4 linked regions of the Caenorhabditis elegans genome follow. The protein of the gene in region 1 purifies or fractionates together with the protein of each later gene. This does not show direct contact. Each region holds a gene or a part of one and is shown on either strand. Other genes may lie near its edges.

What was found.
Region 2: the proteins of F42A10.6 (region 1) and asp-13 fractionate together in Caenorhabditis elegans (co-fractionation; one large-scale study listed by BioGRID). This does not show direct contact.
Region 3: the proteins of F42A10.6 (region 1) and dct-16 fractionate together in Caenorhabditis elegans (co-fractionation; one large-scale study listed by BioGRID). This does not show direct contact.
Region 4: the proteins of F42A10.6 (region 1) and cpr-9 fractionate together in Caenorhabditis elegans (co-fractionation; one large-scale study listed by BioGRID). This does not show direct contact.

The regions. Positions count from the first base shown.
Region 1 is NC_003281.10:6,174,328-6,179,622, forward strand, and holds F42A10.6 (MD-2-related lipid-recognition domain-containing protein), read right to left. Parts: upstream 2,535-5,295; coding exon 2,384-2,534; intron 2,337-2,383; coding exon 2,171-2,336; intron 2,126-2,170; coding exon 2,011-2,125; intron 1,966-2,010; coding exon 1,867-1,965; 3' UTR 1,830-1,866; downstream 1-1,829. Other genes in the region: abcf-3 (ABC transporter domain-containing protein), read left to right, coding at 1-117, 257-843, 893-1,384, 1,485-1,725; F42A10.7 (MD-2-related lipid-recognition domain-containing protein), read right to left, coding at 3,688-3,898, 3,998-4,350.
Region 2 is NC_003283.11:8,639,543-8,646,076, forward strand, and holds asp-13 (Peptidase A1 domain-containing protein), read right to left. Parts: upstream 3,652-6,534; 5' UTR 3,649-3,651; coding exon 3,338-3,648; intron 3,273-3,337; coding exon 3,143-3,272; intron 2,992-3,142; coding exon 2,908-2,991; intron 2,861-2,907; coding exon 2,612-2,860; intron 2,566-2,611; coding exon 2,437-2,565; intron 2,388-2,436; coding exon 2,268-2,387; intron 2,225-2,267; coding exon 2,078-2,224; 3' UTR 2,060-2,077; downstream 1-2,059. Other genes in the region: acd-4 (DEgenerin Like), read left to right, coding at 50-121, 169-322, 368-459, 502-647, 691-855, 903-1,043; nssp-59 (Protein quiver), read right to left, coding at 1,167-1,274, 1,324-1,416, 1,471-1,526, 1,577-1,802.
Region 3 is NC_003283.11:20,495,778-20,501,569, forward strand, and holds dct-16 (DAF-16/FOXO Controlled, germline Tumor affecting), read right to left. Parts: upstream 3,281-5,792; 5' UTR 3,232-3,280; coding exon 3,219-3,231; intron 2,466-3,218; coding exon 2,206-2,465; 3' UTR 2,147-2,205; downstream 1-2,146. Other genes in the region: B0250.5 (putative 3-hydroxyisobutyrate dehydrogenase, mitochondrial), read left to right, coding at 534-651, 1,197-1,394; dct-14 (DAF-16/FOXO Controlled, germline Tumor affecting), read right to left, coding at 4,276-4,428, 4,482-4,598, 4,652-4,717.
Region 4 is NC_003283.11:12,000,329-12,006,581, forward strand, and holds cpr-9 (Peptidase C1A papain C-terminal domain-containing protein), read left to right. Parts: upstream 1-2,724; 5' UTR 2,725-2,845; coding exon 2,846-2,848; intron 2,849-2,904; coding exon 2,905-3,150; intron 3,151-3,246; coding exon 3,247-4,053; 3' UTR 4,054-4,256; downstream 4,257-6,253. Other genes in the region: gcy-33 (guanylate cyclase), read right to left, coding at 1-321, 1,377-1,448; F57F5.3 (ABC transmembrane type-1 domain-containing protein), read right to left, coding at 4,304-4,584, 4,636-4,891, 5,458-5,623, 6,132-6,202.

The sequences.
Region 1 (5,295 bases):
ATTTCAATGCTGTCTGTGGAACAGGAAGTGGAAGGAGATGATACACTCGTTTTGGATGCTGTTTTGATGTCAGATACGAAGAGACAAACACTTCTTGATAGGGAAAAGACGCTGCAAGTGAGATATTCAGAAAATGATATTAATATTCAATGAGAATAATATGACAAAAAAGTCTGATTTGAATTCATTCCATTCTTGAAATATATATTTTTAATTTGAACAAAAATTAATTCATTTTTCAAAATTAAAATTTCAGAGTCGTATAAACAAGGACAATATCAATGACGCCGAGAAAACCAAATGGAATGACGAGCTTTCAAAACTTTACATCGAAATGGAAGCTCTCCAACTTGACAAAGCTCCAGCACGGGCTTCTTCCCTTCTTTATGGTCTCGGTTTCACTCCAGACGAGCAGAAGCGTCCAACAAAGGAGTTCTCTGGAGGATGGCGTATGAGAGTTGCCCTTGCCAGAGCTCTATTCGTGAAGCCAGATCTCTTGTTGCTTGACGAACCGACTAACATGTTGGACATGAGAGCGGTTTACTGGTTGGAAGGACATTTGCAAGGTTGGGAAGGAACTATTTTGACGGTTTCTCACGACCGTAAATTCCTCAACGAAATTTGCACGGACATTGTTCATTTGCACACCAGACGATTGGATCACTACAAGGGTAATTACGATCAATTTGAGAAGACGATGAAGGAAAAGTTGACGCAACAGCAGAGAGAATACGAATCACAACAGCAATTGAGACAGCATACTCAAGAGTTTATTGACAAATTCAGATACAACGCTAAAAGAGCTCCAATGGTTCAATCCAGAATCAAGATGTTGGAAAAATTGTGAGTTTTTATAAAATATTGTCACTAAAAATTTTATTATGATTTTCAGGCCTGTTCTTCTTCCTGTCGAACTCGAATCAGACATTCACTTCAAATTCCCAGAATGCGAAGTTCTCAGTAATCCAGTTCTCCAACTCGATGAAGTATCCTTCCGTTATAACGAAGATTCTCCCTATCTTTTCCGAAAGCTCAATCTCGGAACTCATGCCAACTCCCGGATTTGTATTGTCGGAGAAAACGGAGCCGGTAAAACTACACTGTTGAAACTTTTGCTCGATGATCTCCAACCATCCGTTGGACTTCGAAATGTGAATCGTCGTATTCGAATTGCCTACTTCACACAGCATCACGTTGATCAATTGGATATGGAAACATCAGCTATTGAGGTGTTGATGAAGAATCATCCTGGAAAGACTCAAGAAGATTATCGAGCAGCTTTGGGAAGATTTGGATTAGCTGGTGATATGGCTTTGCAATCTGTTGAGACACTTTCTGGAGGTCAAAAGTCTCGATTGGCATTTGCTAATTTAGCCTTGATGCAGTGAGTTTTGCTTGAAAATAGCAACATTTTCAAAAAATATTCATTTTTTCCTAGAAAAAAAAATTTATTCAAACTCCGTCTAATTCATAGTATTTTTCAGGCCAAACTACTTGATTCTTGACGAGCCTACTAATCACTTGGATGTCGAAACGGTTGAAGCTCTTGGAAAAGCGCTTAATGTTTTCAATGGAGGTGTCGTTTTAGTTTCTCACGACGAGCAACTCATCGAGCTTGTGTGCAAGGAACTTTGGGTTGTGAAGGATCGAATGGTGACAACTTTGGAGGGAGGACTCGAAGAATACAGAAAGCAAGTCTACAAGCAGCTTCAACTCACTGCCTAAATTTTTCCTGTTTTGTTTCGCATTCGGTTGTTTCCCATATTTCACCCAGTTTCCACGTTTTGTTACACTATTTAAGAATTCAATTTATAATTTTTGTTGAGAAAAAAGTTTATTGCTTTATTAAATTGTTCACTTCAAAATTTAAGTATGAGTGAGAGCTCTAGCCTGGAAAATAATGCAAAGGTCTTCCTTGCTCGGGTCATCATGAAGAAGATACTCGAGTTGGTAAGGCTTATCGTTCTGAAATTGGGGGTTTAACTTTCGAAGAATACACATCAAAATAACCTTGAGAAGATTGATGATAGCTGGAGTATCAGAGAAGTCGAGTTCCAAATTGATGACCTTGTTTTTCGGTTCAATTGGGCATGGTACTCCGTTGGTACAAGCATCGATGTTGTTCCTGGAAAAGGTTACTGTAGGTTACTGTAAGAAGCAAAAATCTTACAAAAGTCCAAAAGTTGGTACTGAAGACCATCCACAAGTAGCCATATTCCATGACCAGACCTTGATAGTTTGTTTAAGTCCAGGAGTAGTATAAGTTGAGGATGGATCATTGATGGATGTTGCAATGAGAAGTGGTTCAGTAAGACGGATTGGATATTCACTGTTACCTGGATTCAATTATACATTCGTAGAAACTATCAGAAAACTTGCGAACCACTCTTATCAGTTGGATTAACATTGGTCACCATAACTGGTCCATTTGAGCATTGCCACCAGTTGACCTTTGTCTCTGTAGTATTCGGCCATTGATCGCATGCCGACGAGAGAGCAAGTAGGGCGAAGAGACACAGACAACGAGCAAGCATCTGGAATTGAAGTAGAATTTTTCGTTTCGAAAGCTAGTGGATGTGATCTAAGTTGGAATAAAATAGTGAATCTGTAATTGGTTAACTGGGAAATTTGAGAAAATGGAAAACTAAATTGCAAAATGATCATCAAATTCGATAGGAAAAACTACGATAAGAGAAATATCAAAGCACATGGCAATTTGAAGAAACCACGCGTTTTAATAGTTTTTTGCATGTAATTGTGATTCTAGAATAAAAAAGAGGTCACAGAGAACCGGAAATATCCACAGGAAGTACTCATTTTCATTGAAAAAATTTCATATGTATATTGAGTATTCCTGAGAAATGCACCTTTCGAAGTCTCGCCACGATTGAAAATTTTGCTCACTCGTGCTATGCGCCTTTAAAACTTGGGTACCATACATTTTTATTTTTCATTACTTTGTTCAGCAACTTTAGCTTTATCAGCGTCTTAATATTACGTAGACGTCAGAAGATGAGAGTTTCCGTCATAATTTACGCAAATGGGTCTCGCCACGCGGAAAGCGGGTTACTGTAACACGTGTCAATATGAAGGCCGCTACTGCACCATGTTTTTCTAATACAATGAATAACTGATTCCAAGCTTTTTAAAATAAAATTATGATACAATGGAGGCCTAAGAAATTGACGCGTGGTAAAGTAACTCGTTGTACTCATAAGATATGAAGAAAATTTTCATTTTTGACGTCTATGCGATTTTTATATTCTTCTTCTATTTTGATCATTAAATCCGATGAATTGAAGGAAAGACAAAGTTTTAAAAAACCTGTGCAAGCACGTATTCTTCATACTTCCAACTTTAGGTACTTATTGAAATTTCTCAGTTTTCAAACTATAACTGAATCGGGAAATTATTAATAATTTCTGATTCCTTGTTTACTTGTTTGATTTTTGGTTCATTGCCAAAATGGCAAATATGCAACATTTTCCAGTGCGAATAGTTCTTTTTTATCAAAATGTTATCGCAACTTTAGTTCGATTTCGGAAATTTTTCCTTCAAATTGATAATGAACAAAAACCAACAAAAAGTCAAGATTATGTACATTTTATTGTTGTTAAAATATACGCCCGTGTTATAGTGCAAATATAATTAGAAATCTTAAAGCCAATCGCCAAATGGGAAAGCATTTTACTTAAGGAAGGCCCAAGCCTGGACCATCATGCATGAGGTGTCTCCGGATTGGTTGTCGTGAAGGATGTACTCGAGTTGATATGGCTGATTGTCCTTGAGTAAGGCGATGATTTGGTCGAACTTGGTGAAGTCAATGATGACGTCAAGTTCTTGGTTTCCTGGACGGACTGGGCATGGGACTCCGTTTGCGCAGGCGTCAAGGTCCTTCCTGGAAGATGAATCGTTATTTATTATTTAGAAGTCGAGAATAGCCTAAACAGTTCACCCATTCTAATCCATTAGAATTAACTTAAAGATATAAACTTACAAAAGACCGAGAGTTGGGATTGAGCTCCATGTGCATCCGTTCCATCCTCCATACTTCCAGATATTGACGGTGTTACGAAGATTTGGCGACACATATGTGCTCGTTGGGTTATTGATTTGAGTCTTGACAACAATTGGCTGACTCAAATGAATTGGGTACTCGTATTGTTTTCCGGTAGAGTCGTATGGAGTAGCATTCAAAAATTGAACTGGTCCAGATGAGCACTGCCACCAGTGCATCACTTTGTCGGTTCCATTTGGTGCAGCACAGTCTGCCAAGTTGTCGACAACTGGGAGAACAAAAGAAGTGGCAGCGATGCAAAGAACTGAGAGAATGACACACCTGAGAAGCATTGTGAGAGGCTGAAAGTTCAAGAATTCATTGAAAAAAATGACAGTTTTGAATGGTGAAATGGTGATAAGTAGTGATGATAAGGGAGTAGAATGCAAGTAGAATAACTTTGGGGAACTGGTTATTAAGAAGCGTAGGATCAGGCTCGGACTTCTGTTTAGACTCGAGCCCAAGTTAAAATGAATCTTGGTGTACATCATGACGATCTGCCTACAGCGTGAGTTCGGCTAAACTGTATTTTTCTACTGAAACGAATAAATGGTGAAATTATAAAACCGTTCGTGGCCTTAAATAACCAAAAGCGGAGTTTTTTCCCTACTATAGTCTAACAGAAAATCAGAAATATGACCTTCCACTCCTTCCCAAGCTCCTCATTTATACGTTTCAATTAATCTCCACCCCCTTCAAACATCCCGGGGCTCTTTCCTTATCAGACATCAACCCATTTTCTCTATTATGCTTGCTCTTCGGTATGTCCGCGACGTTATCAAAAACTTTTCTCTTTTTTTTTCTGAAACTCCCCTGTGCTTTCTCTAATTACTCCACTTCCTTTGCTCTCCAAATATACTCTATAATCAATTGACGTCGATGGAAAACTTGTTGCAAACACGTGCTGAAAATGACAATTTTGGGGCAGAGGGCGAACCGAACTCGATTTTTATTTTTTGGACACTGAAGTGGTAGCAAGAATGTGGTTTGAAAAGTTGTCCGGTTTAGAAAAAATGATAACGAATTTCGTAGAAGATTTGGGAGGATTAAAAAGTTTAATTTCCGCAATTCTTGCAAACCTGTCAAGTAAAACATGAATCGGTTCCGTTATCATTTGAAACTTGATCACTGATTGAAATATGAGTTTCACATAAAATATATATTTAGTCGATCATTTCCTGTTAGAATATTTGTTTATTGAGTTGCATTTTTGACAATTTGCACAGTTCCTGTTATGC
Region 2 (6,534 bases), on another chromosome or scaffold:
AGGTTCCCAAATATTTTTCCATTAAATACGAGAAGTTTTTAGTTTTTAGACACGCAGGTTTGCCTTCCATATGAAGAAGTAATTTGTATGATGGAAAAAATGACCAAATCGGATAGTAATGGTAAGTAGCTTTATAAAACTAAAATTAACTTTTGTGCCCATTTACAGGCACAGTATCCCTAGATTTTCCGTTTTGTGCGGAATGCCATTTGGCTTGCCAAAAAACTAGCTATAGCTCATACACATCTTATGGTGACGGATTTAATTATAATTCAATGAAATGGCTTACAAGAGAAACCAATCGCAGCGCGAGTTACATTAGGTGTGATTTGAAAACAAATTCTGGCTCAACGAGTCTTACTTTCAGACAAAATATAGCAATAATAAATATTCATTTTATGGAATTGTTCTACACTTCATACTCTCAAGTTAAAGCAACAACTATTTTGAATACTTTCAGTGAGTTTTTTGATTACTAATGAAACAATTTCTGAATTTTAGATAAAATATTTGGTTTGAACGGTTTGTGGTTTGGAATGTCAGTTGTTTCTTTAACTGAGCTAATTCTATACTTCACGAAAATCTCGTGGATCGCTGTATCAAGTAAGCGAAGGCAATATCTTTTTGAGAAGAAAATGTCGGAAAAGGTAGAATTCTAGAAAATTCTTCCAATTACAAATTTCATTTCAGAGAAAGGAAAGAAATATCGAAGAAGCTGTACAAGAAGCTGAAATATCTAGATCACGAAGAAGCTCAGCTGCAAATTTGAAATTTCTGGATATTGAAAGTTTAGATGATGAAGATTACTGGTACAGAAGCTCGAGCCAACTTTCGGATAGCCATTTGGACAATGTGGTGAATATAAAAAGGCTCAATAGTTAATTAATTTTTATTTTGTTTAGATTCAACTCGCTATTGACTTTGAAAAACCCCTACAACGTCCTTCCGCGATTAGTCTTCCAAGAATATCGGAATGTTGTGAAGATTTTGAAGAAGAGGATGAAGACGAAAATAATGATCTGGGAATTATTATAAAACTATGAAAGATTCATTGATCTCAAATTTTGAATTTATAGTGAAAAGCAGAAACCCAAGCAATTATTCTCAAGCTACATAAATTACTAATTCCCAATATTTTTCAACAAGAAATATTTCTAACATCATTCTCAAATTGATTTGTAGAACCAGAAGAACACAAATACTGTGGTGAAAGTCATTGAAACGGCCGTCGAGGAGTTGCAGAAGTCTTTGTCACAATAGCAATCGAGGCGCTCCTACAAACATAAAGTTTGAAAACTGTGCTGTAAAAATAGCGCAACTTACAGTAGTATATCCAGTTTTCTTGACCTTTTGGTTCAAGTCAAAACATCCGTTTGATGGAGTCTGATTGTTGTCTTCGCGAACGCTAGCGCATCCCTGAAAGTTAGGATCAGTTGCATACTTTTACAAGTTTATAAAAAAATTAGATACCTTTGTGTATGAAGTCCATTTGAAATTGATACTATTGAAGCCAACTCTGTGGATTTCTAAAAAGAGAATGGTACCAGTGATTCGTAAAAAAAAACAACAATCATACTTGCTCTTTTGATACAAAATGTTCCATTGGTACAAACATCGGCACCGGACGTTGCTTTACAATCTCCGTAGTACTTATCAGGGCTGATATTCAGTTCAGTGAACATTTTCTTTGTTAGCTTAGACATGTTTTCCTGACCTCCGCATTGATGGCATTGGAGCGGGTATGTTGGAGTTATAAGAAAAATTAGGAATGCGAAAAAGAAAAAGTAAAAATTAGAAGGCATTTCGAGGAAGTGAATGAGTCAAAAAATCAGAATGAGCCAAGAACTTGAGACGCTCCAAATTTAAAGGAAAACGTTATAGACAAAGACCTCCATGGATACGCGTCAAGTGACTTATTCATGTGTACAAACTACGTTTCCTCCTCTCATTTCGATGGTCCATCATCTTTTCATTTTCCACAAAATACGAAAATAGCAGAAATCACAGGACAAGGAACCACAAAAACAAAAGAAACATCAGAATACGAGAATATGAATGTATGTATTTATGAAAGAGTCTATGCAAGAGATAAACAGAATCCAACACGTTTCTGTCCGATATCATGTACATTACAATATTGTCTCATGAATGGTCCACCGAGAATCCATGAAGGTCCGAAACCAGCATAGTTTTGTGGAATTGCAGCGAAAAGGCAGGAGTTTGTCTGTAAATTATTCACATAATTTTTGATATGTAGCAAAACTTACATCAATCTTCAAAATGTAGTTATTTGCTCGAATAACATAGTTGAATTGGCCAATTTTCATCTTAATTGGCCCCGCGTCGGCATCACAAGGAATGTTAAATACTTGATTTGTTGGGTCCCACTGAAACAATTTGTAATTTTTAACGCAATCACAGAAAGTACATGCTTACAGTAGCTCCTGCAGCTTTAGCCAAGTTGTCAATTGCAGCTTGAGGTCCACATAGAAATGAAGTAGCGGTATCGGTGATTACCTCATATGTGGTTGTGGATACATATGAGCCAAGAGAAAATCCGGTTGCCTAGAAATTCAGAAAAAATACAAAAATCAAAACTCTCCAGAAATACCTGGAACTGAAAATGTCTAGCATTAGTTAGTTCCGCATATCCAATAACTGGCCCACAATGGTTTTTATCCAATCCTCCATAAGTGAATGCACCACTTGCAGAAGTTCCAGGAGCACCTCTCTGACCAAACCATGTAGTGAAAAGTGGCTGATCAAGTAGTCCTTGATTGATAGCGTTGATGATTGGAGGGGTAATGTTGTCAACAGCTAATGCAGTAAATGCAAGACCAAAGATTCCCTCTTTTGGGCTCTGCAAATGCAAAATAGTGAAAGTGAAGGAACTTGAAAAAAACGAACCCATTTGAAATCTGATCCGACAGTGTCTGCAACACCAAGGTATGATCTTGGAATAGCGAGTTGTGCTTCTCCTGATCCACCGATCTGAAAATTCCATTTTATCCTAGATGACTCCAAGAAAAGTTATTCACAGTACCAGACACGAATTTACTCCTAATTAAATTTTTGTTAATACTTTTTTACAATTTATTTATGCATTTAAATATGTAAAATTTCAGAATTTCCATCAAATAACCTTAACAGTGTCAATTCCCAATGTCCCGTAGGCATCACCGCTAGCATATTTGATCTGCCATGGGCGGTTGGTTGCAATATATGTGGATGAAGCTTTTTCATTAAATAATCTCTTTTTCTCACAGTACGTTCTGTAAAAAACTTTCGAAAAATTGTGATCACAAACGTTATTCAATTTCAAAACAGGAATACTAACGTGCAATTAGTTCCTGGAATTAAGAGATTGGCTGATCCGGTATCTAATACAACAATAAAGTTTTGATCAGGAGTTCCAACAGTAATATTTCCCATGTACTCATAGTACACATAATCTGTTGTGCTTTGAACCACAGTAGCCAGGTTAGATGATCTACTAGCAACCATACGGTCGCGGTACTCCAAATAGGCAGGATATTCTCCATTTCTGATCATTTCAATCATTCTAGATTCTTTCCATATTAATTGATGTTCGAGGACTGCAGCCGTCGAAGACCCAATAAGAAGGAAAATAATGGAAATAATACCCATTTTCTGAAAAATAAAAATAAATTGAAACACTGAATGAAAAAATAATTATTCTCCGCTGAAATGGGAAAGAAAACTAAATAGGGTTATCGGCGAAACATTCTAACTAATTGAATTCACTGATAACATTGCAACATCAGATTATGAACTCTGATACTGTGTTTCAGAATATTTATTTGAATTGAGTCTGATAAATGGATTACCGTATTTTCCCTACGAGTTTTTTATAATTCAACTTTAGATGTCAGATTCACACGTACTAGTTCACGCTTGCCTTTCATCAACCAGTTTTGCACATTCGTTTTTCATATTGACACTAAACAAGTCTGTAAAAGTGCACATGGTCATAAATCAGGCAATCGGGCTAAACGTCTCTCGTCGGAGACCACCCAAATCTTGCGGAATGTCGCCTTTCGTTTTCTACAAAACAGCATGTTCTCAATTTTGAATGGACCCTCGGGACCCGAGACTCTTAAAAAACCAAACGAAGAAGAAGGCCACCCTGGGCTCTCCCAGTTCGTTCTTCTCATTTCCTTTGTAAAGCGGAATGATAGTTAGGGTGGCGCTTTTGTTTGCAGAAAAAAACGAAGACGGAGGGTCCCTATGGTACAAAAAGTGCAATTGGAAAAGGAACGAAAGAAGACGGAAAAGAATAGAGAAAAAACTGGAAGCCAAATTAAATTTAGTTGAAGAATGAGATGAAGAGGAATGTTGCCCTATTCACTTGAATCGCATTTTCTTGTTTCTATTTTTGCTGGTTTCATCATTTTGAGTTGATTGTATTTATGTGATTATTACGATTTTACAAACACCACGCACATTCCCTTTAACGATATTATAACTACAAATATCTGAAAAGGTTCCCTAGCTTTATACGAGCCTATCAAAACTTCAACCTCAAATGCTCCACATTGTCTGGTTGACACGATTTATTGTCACACAAGTGTAGAAAGAATATGATCGTTTCGATATTCAAACGGTGATAACCTTTTGAAATTGTTTTCCCATTGACAGCAAGTGAATTGATTAACCAATGAATGGGAATACTGTAATTAAATGACTTTTTATACTTCACTATGAGCTGTGATTTGCATAATGGAGATCTTTAACTATTACAATAATTTTTTGAACATCAGTAGATACCTAGAAGTACACTAAACTACTAAAGTAGGGATAGAAAAATAACGGTTATGTTTTTTAAGTTTTCCAAATTCTGAAAAATTAGATTTTTTGTCTTGTAGGTAAAATTCCCATAAAAAAGTTATGCACTTTTCCGTTTTTTGAACTTGAATATTTTTCCACTTCCAAATGGTTTTTTTGTCATTCACTATATGTTGACTCAAACTGTTCGAGTTTAAATTTAGTTTAAAATTTAGTTTTTTTCAAATTAAAATTTCTGAACACATATAGTGTTCCATATGTTTTTTTTCAATACTTATCTCCCCTTTAATCCTCCATGACCAATATTTCAGGGTATCACAACTTCTTGCCGCTCTCCTCATTTTCCCATTATGCTCAAATGCACCATGGAAACTTGAACCTTCGACCTCACTTTCCCTCTCATAAAATATATCTGTGTCTCTTCATCACTCACACTATTCCCAAATCTAGACTCATCTATCACTAATGTCACCGTTTCGTCGCGTGTCGCTCCCCCGTATTGTCCCAACTTGTTCTACTCGGTCCTTCTCCATTTCCTCTCTGTTTTCGCGCACTTTTACCCAATAAATCGAATGAGCGAAAAACGAGAGGACGCGGGACGTACACAACTCGGAGACAAAGACAATGTTGCCCTGTGTGAAGAAGGTGGCTAACCCCCCGACCCGCTAAGTTTTTGGGAAAAGAAGACAAGGTGACATGCAAAAATTTATGGATCTGGGTATACTTCAGGACGGTATACTTCTGAAGGCTGGGAAAACAGTTTGGAATTGCGTAATACAGCGGCGGCTTTTGATTAATTTCAGAATTCTGAAATTCATGACAAGGTCGTAAGAGTAATTTGACGTTTTGATGAAAGTAGCCCTGTATAGTTAAGATGCTTGTTCACTCATAATAAGCTAAGCCTTCAAGGTATGCACAAAAATGACTAAATGGTGTCAAAGTGGCATGCAAAAATTTATGGAGCATCCAGCTTTCAAATCTTTGTGAAATCATACAGTAAAATTTTTGTTGACACCATAAAAAAGCACTGGATAGTTTGCATTCCGCTGCTAGTTAGATTTCATTTTTTCGCAATCGATCGGCCAATCGGCAATCAAGAAGAGCAAAGACTGGAGCCCCTGATTGGACAGCGCCCGTATCCGTCCCACCTGAAGTTCTAGTTAAATTAGGTTCCTTACTTTTGGAAATATGTGAGTAAGTAACAGTAAAAATCTGATAAAATTAATAACAACTAGACCATTTACCGATTTTTTTAAAAGGTATATTCTTTTGATTCTTGAGCATTTCTGTCAATTGGTTCAATTGAGAACGTCTTCAAAATGTTCAGCCTAATAATTTTCATTTGATCCTACTCAAGGGTGTCAATGTCCCGTAAAAATTACAAAAACGGGACAGCGGGACGTCCCGTTCCCGTGATAATTTTAAAAACGGGACAACGGGACGTCCCGTTCCCGTAAAAACACTCAAAAAACGGGAAAACGGGACAAACGGGACACGGGTTTTTTGAAGCTTTTTGAACTTTTCTGAAAATAATTTATTTTTGGAATGAACTGTTGCAGGTAGATTCTGTACCCCATTTCAACAATGTCAATTTTCAAACATCCCATTTATTCTGAAATATGTCCTGAGTCTTCTACACGTCGTTTTACTTTTCAGACATGATTCCCACGATTTCTGTGCACTTTGTGAAAGTACACCCTTTCTGATTCCATTTCCGTACCACCAAGT
Region 3 (5,792 bases), on another chromosome or scaffold:
AACAATTTCCGGCAAATCGGCACATTGCCGGAATTGAATTTTCCGGCAAATCGCCAAATTGCCGGAATTGAATATTTCCGGCATATCGGAAAATTGCCGGAATTGAAAATTTCCGGCAAATCGGCTAATTGTCGGAATTGAATTTTCCGGCAAATCGGCAAATCGCCAAATTGCCGGAATTGAATTTTCCGGTAAATCGGCAAACCGGCAAATTGCCGAATTTGCAAAATTTTCGGCAAATTTTAGTTTTGATCAGTTTATTTTTTGAAAATTTCAGAAAAAAATTCCCTCTAAAAATTTCCGGCAAACCCGCAAATGGCCGGAATTGAAAATTTCCGGCAAACCGGCAATTTGCCAATTTGCCCAATTTGTTGACGAAACAATGCCGCCCACCAAAATTCTAAAAAAACAGTTTCGTCAAAAATAATTTTGAAAAACATTTTTTTTCCCACATCAGCAAAGTAAAACGACCAGCGCAAAAAATTGAAATTAAATATATTTTTCTAAAAAATTCAACAAAATTTTTTTTACAGAATGGGTCTCGACGCGAAAGCGCTTGCCGGAATCGTGAATACATCGTCAGGAAGGTGTTGGTCGTCGGACACGTACAATCCAGTACCCGGAGTCATTGAAAACATCCCTTCGTGCAGGGTATGGATGGAAAATTGACTGAAAATCCGTAAAAATGCAAAAAAAAAATCTCAAAATTTGATTCTGTCCTCAAAAAATTCATTTAAAAAATTAAATTTCGCCATTTTTTGAATTTTTAGCTTAAATTTATAACTTTCCAATTTTTTGATGATTTTAATAGGAATTTTGATTTAAAAATAATTCAAAAAAGTTGAAATTTTCAAAAAAAAAATCGAATATCTGGAACATTTTTGCAAATCGGCATCTTGCCGGTTTGTCGAGTTGCCGGAAACGTTCAATTCCTTCAATTTGCCGATTTGCCGGAAATTTTCAATTTCGGCAACTTGCCGGTTTGCCGATTTGCCGGAAATTTTTAATTCCGGCAACTTGCCGTTTCGCCGATTTGCCGGAAATTTTCATTTTCGGCAAATTGCCGGTTTGCCGGTGTGCCGGAAATTTTCAATTCCGGCAATGTGCCAATTCGCCGATTTGCCAGAAATTTCATTCAAAAATTTCAATGAAAGTCTCCTAAATTCCGCCGATCAACCTAAAATTTCCAATTTCAGGGTTATGCTGGCGGCTTCGGAACGACTCTAATGGCAAAAGACCTTTCATTGGCTCAAAATGCTTCAACAAATACTCAAGCACCAACTCCAATGGGCTCACTGGCTCATCAAATCTACCGTATTCTGGCTCGTGATCCACAGTACCAGGCAAAGGATTTCGGTGTCGTCTATCAGTTTTTGAAGAAACAAAACTCATAATTTTCGGTTTTTTCTGAAATTTTTAAAGCATATTTTATGTGATTTGAAGCCCCGTATTTTCAGGATTTTTCCAATTTTTAAGCATATTTTATGTGATTTTTCCGCCTTTTTTCTATGTGCCAAATTGTGTTTTTTATGTAGAAAAAAATAGAAATTTATGAATTTTTTGTTTAAATTCGAAAAACTGTCTGGGAAAAAATCGAATCGAAAAAATTCGAAAAAAAATTTAAAATTTTCAGGGTTTTAATCGAAAAATTAATCTTAAAAAATCAATTTTTGTCACAAAAATTTATCGAAAAAAAAGCTGATTTTATAAGAAAAAATAGAGATTTTTAAAAAATTTACAAGAATATATTTTCCATGAAAAATCACTTGGAAAGACCATTACAAGTTCAAAATTACAAAAAAATTATTTATTACAAGCTCATAATTGAATTAAATTTGCGTGGTTCGATCTACTTCGATCTTCGAAAAATGCGGGAATTGAGATGCAGATTTCTCAATTGACTTCGCATGGATAAAAGCGTGCACTTTTTGGGCAAAAAAATCCCGCATTTTTTGTAGATCAAACCGTAATGGGACAGCCACCATGTATGTACATTACTTTTCAAGTAGGTCAAGTAGGTTCGGGCAGTTTCCGAAATTTTAAAGGAACTTTTTCATTAGAAATACGTGGTGTCATTACTGTTTGATCTACAGAAAATGCGGGAATTTTTTTCCCAAAAGTATGTGACCATTACAAGTTTAAAATTACAAAAATTATTTTATTACAAGCTCATAATAGAATAAAATTTCAAAACAAAAAGAAAATCTATTGCTTCTTGGCGGCCTCGATAAGCTCGGCCTTCTTCTTCTCAATAATGACAGCGTAGATCTTCTGATCGGCTTCCGATTGTCCCTTAATATACTCATTGGTCTCTCCGATCATTTTTGTGATAATTGCCAAAGAAGTGGCAGCATCACGTTCTGGCTCATCGTCCTTCTTCTTGTAAGTGGCGGCGATTTTGAGAATTCCCTCGATGGATTCTGGCGAGAGACCGGCGGCTGTCATCTCCTCCTTGGCTTTTGCGACTGAAATTTTTTTTACATATTAGTAGGGTATTAGGAGACCTACAAAAAATCCGAAAATTTTCAATTTTTGGATTTTTATTAGGTAATTTGCGTGGTTTGATCTACTTAGATCTTCGAAAATGGCGGGAATTGAGATGCAGACTTCTTAACTGATTTTGCATGGTTAAGAACGTGCTGACGTCACATTTGTTTGGGTTAAAAAATCCCGCATTTTTTGTAGATCAAACCGTAATGGGACAGCCTGACACCACGTGTGTGCTGTACTTTTCAAGTTGGTTGTATGTTCGGGTAGTTTCCGATATTTTTAATAAACTTTTTTTATTGGAAGCGTGTGGTGTCAGACTGCCCATTACTGTTTGATCTACAGAAAATGCGGGAATTTTTTTCCAAAAATATGTGACGTGTCAGCATGTTCTTAACCATGTAAAATCAGTTGAGAAGTCTGCGTCTAAATTCCCGCTTTTTTTGTAGATCTCACCAAAATGGGACAGCCTGACATCTAAAAATGTAAAAAATTAAATCATTTTTTGGTGTTGTATCCTATAATATCTGGAATATGAGGTTATTGTACAATTACATGTAAAAAATCAAAACAATAACTTGCTAAAGAATTACATACTTTTTTCTGCCGAAAAATCAACAAAAATTGAAAATTTCAATTTTTCGCCATTTTCGGTCTTATTGTTAAATTTTTTTCAAATTGAACAAAAAACATGAATTCTTGAAAAAATAAGCATACATCCAAAAACTCACGTTTCTCGGCCATTTTTAGTGTTGATTCAGCAGCAGCAGCAGTGAAAATTGATGCCTATGCCGAAATGTGGCACCCCGCTTGGCATTTTATACCGAGAAAAAATGTTTGTGACCGCATGCACTTTGCTCTTCCAGCGCGTGTTTGCATGCTTACGTGTTCCGAACGAAGACCGTTTTTGCAGTTGTTGCTCCGCGAGCAACTAATTTAATGATGTGTCAAGAACACTATGTAGATAAGGAATTTTAGTGATATGACGGCTCGCGAAGATTTTAACGTGGAAACTTGCTGGAATCCATGTGGCAAATAGAGATTAATGTCTGATATTTTCCAGAAAAACTATGGCCCAGGCTTAGGCTTTATAGGGTTATTCATGAGATGACGATAAATGCAAAAATGTATTTTTTACATTTTTCCCCTATCTATTCATGTGTGTAGAAAAATGTAAAAAAAACACATGCTTTTTTTGCATTTTTCTACATTTTTCTACATTTTTCATGTGAAGCGGGCTGTCGGCCGATGTAGATAAATGTCGAAAAATGTTGAAAAATTAAAAAAAATGCCTTCGTTTTTAGGGATAGGGTAAAACTGTATAAAAATCATTTGTGCATTTTTTGGCATCACATGAATAATCCCAATAGCTTCGGTTTAGCGTTTAGGCTTAGCTTTTTTTTAAGGATTAGCTTTGGCCTAAGCTCAGGTGTATCAAAGTTTTAAGAGCCCATGATTACAGACCACCTAAAAAATCTCAATGACCAGAATTTCAACGCAAAACATATTTATTATTTATTGAAATAATCAGAAATCACAATTTTTAGAGATAAGAGGGCAGGAGAAATGATGGGAAGAAGGTGAATGGCATGATGGTGAAGCTTGTTTGACTACACGGCAGTACATAGGGTAGACCTGACTTTTTGGACATAGCGCTTGGGCCAAGAAGTACTAGGATGATCATGTAGGTTTAGAGGTTGTCTGGAATGTTTTTTGAAAATTGAAATCGCGAAAAGTTTGGAGTTAAAAATAGGATTGTTAGGATTATTGTTTACAAGTAGACAATAGTCACTTGCGACGTGCCGGATCTTCGTCGGCGATCCACAAATCGATCTTGTTCAACTCATTCTGTTTCTTGAGCTCTTCCGGGTTCCGAGGCTTTTCTGGTTTTGGCTCCTTGGGTACCACCTCTGGGTTCTTTTGTTCTGACGTTGAAGCTGTCTGAAAAAAGAATGTAAATAAGTAAATTATATGTTTCTCAAAAAAAAACTCACCTCTATCGCCTTGACCCTCTCCATGTTTTCATTGCGTCGTTTCTCGATCTCTCGCATTTTCACAGTCTTCAACGGGATAAGCTTCGGCTTACAGAAAATTGGCTCAAACCAATCTTCCTGAAAATAAGAAAAACACTCGAGCTTTTTTGTTAGCATAAATCTCAGCTCACCTTGGAAATAACGTAGCACTCATCGACGGTGAGCTTCTCCTCGACACTCGGAGCATCGGGGTTCATTTTAGTTGTGAAATTCAAAGCAATGAGTTTGCAAAAGATTCAGAAATTTGGTTGTTAAGGACAACCTCTTTACAACTCGCTGTGTACCCCTCAATTAAGACACATGAGATGCTTCTCATGGGAATTAAGGGGGATATAGTCAACAAGTATAGGTATACTATGATTAATTATCACGTGCGCTGGTGTGGGTGGGGGTCTGACGAGGTTCTGGTCGGAGGGTAATCTTGATGGGATGCGGAATTAAATTTCAAAAATAATAAGAGGACACGGGGTTCAAAATAAAAATTGGAAAGTAGAAAAATTTGAAAAAAAATTGATCAAGCGACAATTCTAGGTTGGCCAACACTCTGAGAATTCATAGTTGAGTCATCTGAAGTTTTCCTCAATTTTTCAAATTTCCAGCGGAATAGCTCTTTAACAGTGTCTCGATAATGAGCGTTTACGCCGAGGCAAATTAAGAAATGAACGGTGGCGTTAATGGCAACAAATGACGTGAAAATATCCATCAAATAGCGTATGGTAGTTCTGAAAAATAAATTTTGATGAAGCAATACCATTATATTAAAAAAAATTACCAAAAGGATAATCTAATATTCTAATAAGAAGTGATAAATTGAAATTTACAGAAAATACTTGAAACTTGATTTAATTTTTGCTGAAGTTTTAAGAAAAAAAAGTTTAAAAATTGAAATTAGAAAACTGCAGTTTTTTAAAAATAATTCCATATTTCTATTTTGAATTGAAAATATATATTTTGTTTGGAAATTTTAGAACTTTAATCTCAGTTGTTGAACTTTATTCTCGTCCTATAAATTTGTGTGTAAAGTTTTTGGATTTTTGTTTCAATTTAGAAAATTTACAAAAAATTCTCAACATTTCATTATTAAACTAGAAATTTCTTTAACTTTTTGCCTGAAATTTAACCAAAAATTTCAAACAAAATTGAATGCTTGATGAAATTTTGAAACGCCGAAAATATTATCTCGACTTGTTTAAATTTTCAAACAATTTTTGATGTTTGCCTTTTATTTATTAGAAGATTTTGGCCAAAAAATTTAGCGCGAAGTTTGACCAA
Region 4 (6,253 bases), on another chromosome or scaffold:
TAGAATTAAACCATCTTCACTTTCAGATTTACAGTAAAATGACGGAGCTCTGAGTTTTGGATAACTGAATCGAAAATATTCATGAATATTATCAAGTCCTTTGATAAAATCCGAAAATCTCCTTCCCATAACATTCATCAAATCTCCATAACCATTTCGAATCAAAAATTGAACGAAAAATCTTCCAGCGAGAACTCCAATTTGTTCATATGGTGTTCCAGTGATTTCATGAATTGCTTTGAACATTTGAGGAACAACGTGTTCCGAATATTGATCATGAGTTGATACTGACTTTTCTGACAGTGATGTCAGCTTTTGAACCTGAAAATATAAAAAAGAATACCTACTATTAGATAGATAAATTTTCTGAAATTTTTCATTACCAGCAAAACATTTTTTTTTGAAACCAGTTGTTGCTATTTACTATATAAAAACTTCCTCATATGAAATTATACATAATTGCCGTATTTTCTCTATTAAAATGGCATGCCATATTGTATTTTGAAACCTAATATTTTTGTTGAATTTTCAAGTTATTTGGCTAATTCAATAGCCAAATCGGTCATTGTGCAACAGATATATTAAGATCCATATATAATTCAAGACTTGCGAAAGAGTTAAATAACAATTTTTTTTTGCAATTTCATAATCATTTGACAGATAAAATATTATAATATACATAGATGCGCAAGGCTAGTCTCTAAACAGTATGAATATTACCAGCTGGCATTTCTTTGTTGCACTCGAATTCATCCGACACAAAGAGTTTCAACACAGTTAAAGGGGAATTTTATTTTCTATCGAAGCGGGTCTCGCCACGAGATTCGTTTTCAATGTGATGACTAATATAGAGAATCTGCCAAATTTTACTATTTTATCACGTCTCGTTTTTTCTTTGAAAATCAAACTCATTTCAACAAACTTGTGAAACGAAAAGTATGTTATTTAAAATTATGATTTTTTAGTTTTGAAGTTTCTTTGATTTAGGCATAATTGTTTTTTAAAATTGTTGCTTCGAAAGACTGGCTAGCCAGCTGTCTCAAAAGTTTGGAAGTTTTATAACAATTTTTTCTGATATTTTTGGTCTTATGAACATGTAAAGATAAATTTTCTTTAAAAGATAATTTTTACGTCGAATTAGAAAAAAAATCGAGAAAAAATCGCAATGTTCTAGAAGTCTTTTCCGGTTAATGACGTCATAAAGTTTAAAGCTTAATATTTGAATGGGCGCCTTTTTTATATTGGCTGCATAGCTACTCACCTACACATCAATATATAATTGATACGGAGTCATTAAAAAGTTAAATGTTTTCAACTTTCATTTGGAATTTGAAAGATCATTCAAGTTGGTATTTAAAAATTAGAAAAAGTCAAACCTGCAGAAGAACTTGGGGTCCCCAGTTTTCCTGTATCATAAACCGAACACCTTCAATGACCAATCCGTACATTTTGCGGGTTGATTTCTGCTAGAAGATGTTTGAAAATGCTGACTAAAATCTGAATAAGGTGTTTCCACTACCAACATCTTCCAACTTCCGTGCCAGTTTCCGTTAGCTGTACACTGTTGCCCCCTATTTTAATAATCTCATCTTCGATTCGTAATATCCATTAGCTCACCTCTCCCCCTTTCCCTTGAAATACAAATGTCTGCGTCTCTCCCCGCTCGTTGCTCTTTAGGTCTCCCACCTTTTCCTCTATGTAAGGCAATGGTCAAGAGACCGCACAACACAGTGGTTCATGTGTGTATCCCTTACCCCTCCACAGAGACACAGCATAGACGGAGAGAGTCTAGGAGACCGAGGAGAGCAGTATACTTGTCAAGGCTAATTCTCATGCGTTAGGGCCGTGCCCCATTGGCGCAGTCGGTTAGCGCGTGGTACTTATAGTCTATAGGTTATGCCAAGGTCGCCAGTTCGAGCCTGGCATGGGGCAGATTATTTTTGTTTTATTTGAGGTGTCTAAAGTAGTTTAAACGACATTTGTAGCCCCTATTTCGTGTTTTGTAGTGAAATGTAGTCTGTTTGATTTGTGGGAGTTGGAATCGATCTTCTACGAACCTGTGATAAGAATAGTGATAACCTAAACATTGACGTACATGCATCTTTATGATAAACATGTCATATGACAAGTTAAGCAGGTCAAAGTTAATAGCTCGATGTATTCTAGTTAGTATAACAGCTAACACACCAGAGCCAAACTAGCAAAATCTGTTTGAATGTTTGTTTTTAAATTAAATATCAAACATTAATTAAAACAAAATTGATAGACTGGTATGTACTTTAATCCAGATCGTCAATGCCATGCAATCTCGCATTATGGTCGCGTGTGACGTCACATTATCTTAAAACACGGATGTTTTTTTCGGGAACCGAAAAAACGAGCTGATAATTGTAAGGAAACTATTTTCAGTTTAAAATTGTACTGCTGGAAAGTTGATATGACCAGGATAGTACGAAAATACACCTATTAAAATGTTCGAAGAATTATTGGAACAGTCTATTACTAGGGATTATATTTAAAGGCATAACACTATGAGAGCACAAAATATAATATTCTTTAATCACCTCTACAACTCGTTAACCCTGCAAATTTTCGCTTTCAAAGTCCAAGTTTAAGCAAATAATTTGAATTCTCCCGCAAACATGCACGTGTCTAATCAGGCCTTTCACTTCGAAATGAAACCGGAGCTAGTAGCGAAATGCCTAATTCTTATCAGCAATATTCGAGAAAACGCCAAACTTCAAAAGTTATCAGTCGCTTGAAACGAAAAAACTATAAAACCCCTGGTAAGCGCTTGATAAATTGGTCGACTGTCGAATTTCCCAATTCTCCAGCCAATCGAAAAATGGTAAGGCTTAATTTTCCTGAAGTTTAACTTCAGTTTCAAAAACTTTTCAATTTCAGAAAACTGCAATTGCTGCTCTTCTTGTCGGCCTTGTCGCCGTCAACGCCTACAATGTTGAGGTTAAGCACGGAGATGCCATTCCAGTTGAAGCTCAAATGCTTCGTGGACAGGAACTTGTTGATTACGTCAACAAGGTTCAGACTTCCTTCAAGGCTGAGCTCGGATCATACTTCAGCTCTTACCCAGATACCATTAAGAAGCAATTGATGGGAGCTAAGATGGTCGAGATCCCAGAAGAGTACAGAGTTAGTAAATTTGAATATTTTAAAGATTTTGAAAAACGCTTCCCAAAAAATACAGATTTCTTTCAAACTAATTTATCCTAATGAAATTGTTTCCAGGTTTTCGAGATGACTCATCCAGAAGTCGAGGATGCTGCTGTTCCAGACTCATTCGATTCCCGTACCGCATGGCCAAACTGCCCATCCATCTCCAAGATCCGTGATCAATCATCCTGTGGATCGTGCTGGGCTGTCTCTGCTGCTGAAACTATTTCTGATCGTATTTGCATTGCGTCAAATGCCAAAACTATCCTTTCCATCTCTGCTGACGATATCAATGCTTGCTGTGGAATGGTCTGTGGAAATGGATGCAATGGTGGATATCCAATTGAAGCCTGGCGTCACTATGTTAAGAAGGGATACGTTACCGGAGGATCTTATCAAGATAAGACTGGATGCAAGCCATACCCATATCCACCATGTGAACATCACGTCAATGGAACTCATTACAAGCCATGCCCATCCAACATGTACCCAACTGACAAATGCGAACGCTCTTGCCAAGCTGGATATGCTCTCACCTACCAACAAGATCTTCACTTCGGACAATCTGCATACGCCGTCTCAAAGAAGGCTGCTGAAATCCAAAAGGAAATCATGACTCATGGTCCAGTTGAGGTTGCATTCACTGTCTACGAAGATTTTGAGCATTACTCCGGAGGAGTCTACGTTCATACCGCTGGAGCCAGTCTTGGAGGACATGCCGTAAAGATGCTCGGATGGGGAGTTGATAATGGAACACCATATTGGCTCTGTGCCAACTCATGGAATGAGGATTGGGGAGAGAACGGATATTTCCGTATCATTCGTGGAGTTAACGAGTGCGGAATTGAGGGAGGAGTCGTCGGAGGAATTCCAAAATTGTAAATCTCGAAACATTGTGTTTGTGATTGCAACTTCAATGCCTATTGTACAATATGTATTCGATTTATAAATATTTGAATTATTCTTATATTTTCTGTTAACATTTGCATACAAACTTGAATTACATATTTTTTTGTCAAGATTAATTCGAATTCTGTTTCTTTTGTTCCAAAATTCAAATTGTTTGAAAAGGGTTATTATAATATAATGCACAGAACTTGTACTCCCAAAAAATTGTATGAAAAATATATGTTCATTGAACAGATAGTAAACGAACAAAACAAAACAAAGTAATGACATAAAAAATAAAAAGGGATAATGAAAATACAGAATATGCAATAAGTAGATACTGCATCATAAGAACAAAATCAGTTGGAAGACTTGTTAAATCAGATACTCCCAATGGCCAATGATTTGTTGATAACATTAAAATCTTTGACATTCGATTATGAGTTTCTGATTTTATCATATCAATATCATTTCCAAAAAGACTTCGATCCATTACTTGACTTATTTCCACTGATTCTATTGCTGCTGAAATAATGTGATTTTTTTAAATTTTAAACTTTTCAAACTAAAACTCACTTTTCATAAAAACTGAATATTTTGGGAATATAAAATTTGGCACAATAATGACAAGCAGCAGAATGGCAACACATTTAGACAATGCCTTTGATGGATTGAGAATAGCTGTCAGACATATAAAACCGACGATCAGAGCAAATATGGGAAATATGACATGAGCGAGCATTTCAATTTTGACGCCATTCATTTGTATGTAATTCCAAAGAAGTACGTTTTTGGAAACATCAGTCACCAGGAGAATACCGGCTAAAAAAATCTGAAAAAATACACTTTTTAGGTATTAATTTATATATTTTTTGTTTTTAAAGGATTAAAGGACGATCCGTTCTTCAAGTGCTATGAACTCTGGGATACAGGTACACTGCCTGGTGGTAGACTCAAAAATGCCACAAAGGCTATGCCTATTTGCGTTCCTTCAATGCTGGCTTCAACATTTCTAAATACAATCTACTCCTATTTTCCCAAGAAAACTCAAACATATATGTACATATCTTTCTTTAATTGTATGTATGTATGTAGGTAACATTCGAAACTAGTTACGTCTGCTTTTTTGTGCCTATGAGAACGCACTCCAAAGTTTTAAACGTTTTAAGCAACATAGCTCATTAAACGTTAAATTCTGGAAAGTACATTTTTAAAAGCGTAGATGAAGCTCAAGACTACATGTATTTTTATTGTAAATCTACATCACATAATGTCTAGATCAGTCTAAATTTCTTCTGAGATAAGGTTTTTTCCATGTGATGTTGCATATATAAAAACTGGATTAAAAGATTTTCAAGAGAGCACACTAGGAAGTAATGAACACGTCTTGAAACTTACTTGAGCATAAGAGAGTACACGAATATAATAAATAGAAGAATCAAAAACTCGAATTTTGCGTTCATAGTCCCTGATCGCAAAATTGCTATTTGTCTTGGTTAAATAATCTCGATAGTAGTCGGTGTAGTCATCTTCCAAATACGGGCGATTCAACGCGAACGGACTTCTGAAAACAATGAAAAGATGTCCTCGAGGATAATTTTGGTGTCAACTACTCGTTTGTTTTGTTTGAGTTTTGCGCGGTAAATTGTAAATTCTTTAGTAAGTTATGCCCTGTAGGGGAAAATGTGGGGTGGCCTTGAATATTGAAATTAGGGTTGACGTCTTGGGAACAGATTAGCGCTTTGGCGGAATAAATGAACAAAGTTGAAATATTGGCATACGGTATTAATTTAGGTTGTGAAGATAAGTATCTAGTTAGAATTAAGTTGAAGAAATTTAGAAAAAAAAATTTATACATACGACATATTGTGTTTTTTTTTTTTAATTCACTTCTACAACTTTAAGATAAGAGCTCATTTATGCGAAATGATCTGGAAATGGAAAAAAATTCACAGTATTTCTGTTGTATAATAAATTTTTAAGAAATCCTCATCTACTGCAAAACATTAATAAATGTATCTTTAAAAATAATTCCAAGTCTACAAAAGACCACCATTTTTCAATTCAATTACCTGTAGGGATATGCAGTCGAGTAATAAATTTGCCTGTTCGGATAAAAACCATTATAAAGTTCCTCTTCCATTTACAGACTGCATCAATGCTGACCAATTAGAAGCACTGATCTCTGTCACAC